Schizosaccharomyces pombe: one gene and its partner. The gene in region 1 interacts genetically with each later gene. Each region holds a gene or a part of one and is shown on either strand. Other genes may lie near its edges.

Region 1 (3,706 bases):
CTACCTGCTGAAGCTGAGGTAGCTTCATTTTGAGATGCGCTTTTTCGAGGATTGTATTTGACTTTCTTGGAACTCATGTATAATAGCGTTGCGGCATGATAAATTGACAATAAATTGAATTTCAATAATCCTAATATATGGATACAAAGGAAATTTTGAGCTTAAACGTAAAAAGCTGGCACAACATTGATATAAGTGAATGACTTGTGGTGAGAGCAGACAACGATCATGCGAGTGTAATCAGCACTTTACTGTATGATCGGCTGTATTAAATACGAAGTAGTGGAAAAAAAATAATAATTTTTGGTTAACAAATACTTTAGTCATTTGGTTAAACAAAATAGATTTTTTCGTCCACAGACCCATTTTAGTTATGGAAAATATATATATATATTTTTTTTTTCGAAAAGAGCAGCAATAAGGAATACGAGGAGGACCTACAAAACAACACGGAGTAATTACGAGATTAAATTACGAATAATAAGTACGTTGGGTATTAAACGAAGCAGAGAAAATATAATAAAATAGCATCATATTGAGCAAAGCAACAAGAACTTCAACCACACTGCAATAGTTTGCAACTCAGAAGAGAAATGAGAGATTGAGCCGAACCTGTTACATTTACAATATATCGAGATGAGAAAGACGTATTTATGAAAATAAACACTCATAGTCATAAGCAAAATAATTGAGAAAACGCATTCAATCTCCTAATTCAAGTCATAATACAACACTTTTGAAACGCAACACAACACAGCAACACATTTTCAAAGTTGAAAACAAAACCATGGTTATTACCCTTGCATTTTTTTGCAAAAGATACTATTGAAACCTTAAAATAAACGAGGAAGCGAACCAAATAAAAATCAAGCGCAACCTGACAGAAACAATCAAACAAATTATCCCGCAGAGGTTTACTTGTTAACAGTGGTGTTTATAGTCTCAGTAGCTTGCTTTTTAAGTTTATCACCAGATCTCTCAAGGGAAGCAACCAAATGCTTGATAGAGCGCTCATTGCATACATACAATCTGGGAAGGATGAAGGCAAACAAAACATTCCAAACAAAGAGAGACTTGTAGGAAAGGAAGCCACTAAGGAAAAACTCAATAAAAGCAGCAACAGAGGCAGTAAAGGTCAAAATAGGGCTCTCAGCAAACAAGATACGTTGGAATTGAATCAACATAACGTTGAAAATGTCGACAATTGAGTTGACAATCCTATCAAGAGCCTTGGAGTCGCAGGTGATGTAGGAGGAACGGAAGTGAGACAAGACACCACGCTTACCGTTGGAAGCGAAAAGACCACCGAATTCAATGATGGAGGTAATCAAAAAGACATAACGGAAAGTTCTGAAAAAGAGGCGAGGAAGATTGATCCAAGAAGGGACATAAACGAGAGCAAGAATACTCATCAAGGTAGAGAAACTGCAAGAGGTGTTCTTCCAAGTCAACACAGACCACAAAGCATTAGAGATCTCAGGATCGACGTTTTGCTTAGTAGTGTTGGTAAAAGGGCAACCGGCCTCCAAAGCAGGGCATTTTTTGTCGGCACCTCCGTGAGCGCCGGAAACTGGGCAGACGGGACTGCTTGTCTCGCCAGGTGTGGATTGAGAGGTGTGGTGGGGCTCGGAAGAGGAAGAAGAGATGTTTTGAATAACGGGATTCTCAGAGTTGGGGAGAGCAGAGGGAAATGAAGTGGCAGAGGGCAATTCGGTGGAAGGGTGAACGGTGTGAGCAGTCAAAGTATTTACAAGGTCCTCAGCACCGGATTTAGCAGCGGCGACATCGGAAGCAGTGACGGAACCGGATTCAAAGGGGTTTAATGAATGTTGTTCAGACATGATTTGCGTGTTATATTCAATTTTAAAATAACAACTTAAGGTAAAACAGTTACTAAGAATCAAAAGAAGCCTTAAAAAAAAAGAGAAACCTTTTAAACTAAAAAAGGGTGCAAGTGTTTTTTTTTTAAGATATAGTAAAAAATAGAGAAAATTTAAAGAAAACTAATTCTGAAAAGTGCCGACTAAAGAAAATAGCTAGTAAAGGACGACTTTTCGGAAGAGCGAAATACTTTGTAACAAAGACTTAAAAAAGTGAATAAAAGATTTTTGGATTTTGCTGTAGGATAAATAAAATGTATATGTATTAAATCCAAAGCCAAGTTCCAAAAGGGTTAACTTTTAAGGGAGATATTGATCGAAAGAAAAAATAAAAGTAGAATGGGTAAATACAAAAAGAGACCTTCACGAGTTGTTGAGAGGAAAGTCAATATGTTTCACTTACGAAACTGTTAGAAAGTTGTTAGTTGGAAAGCTTTGCTTTTATATGGTAAAAGTCAAGTCGGTGGTTGGTGGTTAGATAGCAGTCATAGCGTTGATCATGGAATGACGTTGTTCTTGGCTCAATAAGTCTGTGTCAGCGGCGACTATAGCGATCATGCTTATAATCGGTTTACAGCAGGCTAATGAAAGAGAATTTTGGATGGTAAAAGAAAAACGAAGAATAGGAAGAAGATGGGCGGGAAAAGATGGGTTAAATGGTATGAAAAGATGGGTGAAATGGTATGAAAAAGAAGGAAATGAATAGAGAAACAATGAAAATGGATGAAAAACGAAAGAACGAGCGAAAACGGATGACTTTTGCAAAAGCTAGAGATATTGAAAAAAGAGTAAATAAAGGGAAAACAATGATTAAGTGCAGGAAAGGCTACAAGAGGCGAAAAAAAAGTGAGAAATAGATAAATAAATTCGTGTAGGATAGTTTGTTGAAAGGAGAGCGAAGTATGGAGTTTGATTGTAAAATGTAAAGGAGAAAGGGATAAGAGTGATGAAAAGGAAAAGGATACAACTGAATAAAGAAAGGATTAAAGATTGAAAAAGGAAAGGAATAGTAACGGTGAGAAATGATGAATCATCCACAAGTGAGTAAAACACGAAGAAATTTGTTGTTTAAAAAATTATTTAATATTTGAGGAATTGAAATCAATTAAAACTTTGAAGAAACAAAATTCATTCAAACTTCTGAAGCCTTTTTTTTTTTTTTTTTTTTTTTTGGAAATTTTTTTGACAAAAAATTTATTTCTTAAGAATCAAAGCAAATGTATTTCAAAAAAAAATATATATATATATATGATGAAATAAATAAGACCATACCTTTTCTACATTTAGTAATTGATTTATTTCAGTTTACGTTAATTAATTTAATGTAATTTTATTTCGAATTTTTTATTTTTTTTATTTTTTCACGAATTGAATTGAATTGAATAGATTTTCTTTTTATAATTTAATTTTTTTTGTACAAATCAGTTTGTATTGAAATTCTTCATCATCTCATTATGCGTTGTGTGTCTGTTTATTTACACCCACTTAAAAATTGCAAGCATACCGTATGATGAACAAGAAGGCTTTTCTTGCCTTTTCGTGAAAAGGGAGGGAGAAAGAGAAAACGTATTTAATAAATTGGACATCTCATCGTATGCTAGTATATGAAATTATGAATTGAAATGAAATGTATGGAATTGCATTGCGCTGGACTGAATTGCATAGAAGTGGACTGCATTGCATAGAAGTGAATTACATTGTACTGAAAGAATTGTGTTGTATCGTATTCAAAGTAATGATGTATCATCCTTTCCTCTTTCCTCTCTACTCTACTCTACTGAAACGGTCGGGTTCTTCTCTCCTTTAGCAAATCCTTTACTGCACTC
Region 2 (3,704 bases), on another chromosome or scaffold:
AACTGCCGTAAACAGAATAATTATTTTTTTCACAAAATCACATGATATAGAAACTCATTAAGATAAATTTTTATTTTTTTTGTCTGAGATACTTGGCAAAGGACCATGTCTCTTTTCCCAACATTTCCTGAATTCTTCCATCTAAAAATATCAGAATTAGCTAAATTTTTTAAAGACATATAATTACCTGTTCTGTACATTTCCTCCAATCATGAGTATCCCAATAGCAATCATTCAGTCGAAGGTGCTCTTCTACACATCCACCTTTTTCAAGAGCAGTGTCCCATACATCTTTTTCCTCTTCTTCTCCGTCAGGAGTTTTTTCAATACTATCCATTCAGAAAAAATAAATTGATGCTTTATAATGTAAAAAATATGCAAAACCCAAAGTGTTTTGCTGAGTAAGGTAAAGCAGCAGATATTTGATTATTTAAGGAGAATGACCGAGAGACGACAGAAAAGGTGCAAAGACAAATAAACAAGAAAATACAGAATAAAGCTTGTCAGTATTAGAGAAAATAAGTTAATAGCTACTACAAAGGTTTTAAATGACCAACTGACTTCACCGCGGAATTTGAGATCGGTAACGGGGTTGATTGGGGTCAATGGGTATAGCAACTGCAGGGCTTTTAGTATTTTCATGATCTTCATTTTCAATGTTTTTAATCGTAGATTTTTGGGAGGTTTTATTTCCATGGGATGAACCTCGCATCACAAGGTCTGCCAACTTTGCGTTTCGTACTTCACCCTCAGGTCCTCCAAGAGAACGAGGTTTTCCCCATTGAACTTTCAGTCGAAACCCCTCTATAACAACATTTCCATCGGGAGATGCCGCCGCCGCAATCTCAGCACTAGAACGAGTTTTAAAGTTTACGAATGCGCATTTTGCTCGATGAGAACACACAACTGATTTAAGAGGCCCATATTGTTCAAAATGTTTACGAATTTTATAGTCAGCTAGTTCATCTTCGACGCCAATAAGGAAAAGGGATGCCTAAATGTTAGCACAATACAATGCGCCATCAAGCTTAAATTACTTTTAAGTCGCACTTACGATTTTTTTATCTTTAGGAGGTTCCATATTAATAGACAAGGAAACATTCCCATTAATAATTTTTTTAACCGGAAATAATGGGCGTTCTGCATTTAAAGATGCATCAGATGCTCGAGCCTCCTTTAATATTTGCTTAGACTCAACATCATCTAATTTTCGCTTAGGAGGTCTTGAATGTAATTCTCGTTTTTCTACCTTTTTAACAAGATTTCTTGCAGCGGCGCTTGCTTCCTGGCTATCGTAGGCCGTTTCGCCATTACTTAACAGGCGTTGTTGATTTTGAGCAAAGAATTCGCGATTAATATCGTTAGTGGGACCGCTTTCGACCAGTTTTAGGGCTGCATCCCTCAGGGCAATCTTCATGGAACGTTAGCTGACTATTATAGTTGAATGAAATATTGAACTTACCGGTAAACCAAATTGCAAATCAAGCATGCAACTCTGACAGCAGTTCTTATATCTGGCGCAACCAACACAAATTTGAGTTTTTCCAGGCTTTTGGCCGCGTTCTTTTATCCACCGAAAGATTGTACAAGGTTTTGAGCAAATTTTACATTCTTGTCCAAGTGGCTCCTTAGTCATACGAACATATGAATTGTCGCCCAAACAACGTTCACAGATGCTTGGAAATTCAACATCCTCCCATTCTTGTTTATTTATATCACCTTTTGGTCCATGAGACATATTAGAAACGCAATTCTCTTGCAATGCTAATCTTTGTAAATATGTGGTGGTGTTAAACTTTGCAAGGTGGAATACGAAGACTTTTAAGACAAATAAAATTCGTGAAAAACACATAAAATTTCATATGAATATCATTTAAATCTACAAATATATATAACTATTAAATTCACATATACAGTGAAGGGCAGAAGACTATGTTTCTGCGAATTAGATTTTGACACTCTTCCATCTTCGTATACATGGAAGAATCGCCGACGACACGGGCTGCTCCTCTGCATTCACGTAGAACTTCATCAAGTCTTATAATTGTTCTTACAATCGATCCTTCTAAAACGTCTGTTAAGTCTGTGATACGGTTGAAAGACATCCCTCTAGCCCACTCGTAGCAAACCTCCATTAAACCAAATCGTGGTTGTGATTCAAAATCATTACCTTCATTAAAATACAATACCTGATAGTGCTCTTGAATTTGATTAACTTTCTCGGCCACTGATAGTATCATTTCCTTTCCTTTTTGTAAATGAGGAGAAATTGTGGGTTCAACCTCCGTTTTCTCATCGAAAACAAATGCAGACAACAATGCTATTGTCTCTTCACAAGAAAAGTCCGCCAAACTGTTTTCCAAAATCAACTCTGTTAATACCAATTCACTGGTGGAATTAATTTCACATGCGACTCTTCCCTTTAGTAAAACAGTTCGCTCTGCGTCAATATATCCTAGTTCTTGCAATACTTTTATCCGTTGTTCGTAATCAGGCAGTAACTCTAGGTTTTGATCGGAAATATAGGAAGATAAGTTATCGATATTGCTTTCCAATTCATACTCTTGGTAAGCTAAGGCGAAATGAGTAAGAAAGTTTGGAGTCGAGATAATTGGATTTCCGGATAACTTGTTCTGAAGAAAATTTCGTTTTTCGAAAGCTTCACAAAATTCAAAGTCTCTGACTTTACTCCAATTAACTTCTTCAAAAAGCAGGTCGGAAAACTTTTTAATTGATGCAAATTGTTCACTAAGTTTTCGAAAAGCCCCCCCTCGACGGTCTCTAATTCCACCAGAATCAATTCGAAGGATCGTATTGCAGACTCTTTCAATACCGGAAAGATTGATAAGGCCATACTTGAATTGGTTTGATTCATCAAAGATAGCGTTATCATAAACATCATTGAACGCGTCAGCAAAAGCAAGTAAATCCGATGGTCGTTTGAGGTTGTTCTGTGGATTTAAATATGCAACTTCCAGTGTACAGTCTGAAGCATTGGTTCTAATGGATGTTCCGAGTAGAACTCCAACAGTGCGAGTAAAATCAAGTTGTTGAAAAACAATGACTCTTCCATCTTTAAATATTCTTTTGCCATTTGCAGTAGTTATTGCTCGGAAGTGCATTTTTTTGGTATACTCTTTAAAAGATTCACTGCTCAATAAACAACTTTTAATTTCTTTCAAATCAACATCAGACATTTCCTTCTTTAAAGCCGACAACTTTTCTTCAAAGCTTTTTATTTTTTCCTCGTGCTGAGGCACCAATGTTTGGTTAACGTTTTCACTAAAGCTGCGTTTAATCATGTCTTCAATTCTAAGCGTCTCTACACGTAGGAGGTTAAGTATCATATTATATGTTAAGCGAAATTGACTTATAAGCTTAGACGAAGGCCCCATAATCATGTGTCTCAACGAAGCTGTGTCAGGAAGTTCTGAACGCGATAATATAATAACTGTACCAGTGACATCAAGACCACGGCGTCCAGCGCGTCCAGAGCATTGTGTATACTCTCCGGGAAGAAGATCACGGAAGTTCCGTCCATCATGCTTTTGTGTACCGGAAAAAACCACCGATTTTGCAGGCATATTTACACCCATTGCAAAGGTCTCAGTAGCAAACAGAACCTTCACCAACCCTCTTTGAAAAAGGATTTCTACTATTTCCTTGATGATGGGTAACAGTCCGCCATGATGAACGGCTAAACC

Evidence for each region. Genes that interact genetically often act in the same process or in processes that back each other up.
Region 2: mutations in rtn1 (region 1) and cwf5 together harm fitness more than expected from each alone (negative genetic interaction), as found in Schizosaccharomyces pombe (one large-scale study listed by BioGRID).

What each region holds. Positions count from the first base shown.
Region 1 is NC_003423.3:1,261,764-1,265,469, forward strand, and holds rtn1 (reticulon Rtn1), read right to left. Parts: upstream 1,842-3,706; coding exon 915-1,841; 3' UTR 535-914; downstream 1-534. Other genes in the region: protein dbl7, read right to left, coding at 1-77. UniProt on the Schizosaccharomyces pombe protein: Required for the correct positioning of the cellular division plane by delimiting the actomyosin ring assembly at the cell equator. Overexpression causes cell lysis.
Region 2 is NC_003421.2:1,185,831-1,189,534, forward strand, and holds cwf5 (Prp19 complex subunit, RNA-binding Cwf5), read right to left. Parts: upstream 1,793-3,704; 5' UTR 1,739-1,792; coding exon 1,463-1,738; intron 1,412-1,462; coding exon 1,055-1,411; intron 995-1,054; coding exon 563-994; downstream 1-562. Other genes in the region: coa4 (respiratory chain complex assembly protein), read right to left, coding at 58-141, 188-337; Ski complex RNA helicase Ski2, read right to left, coding at 1,905-3,704.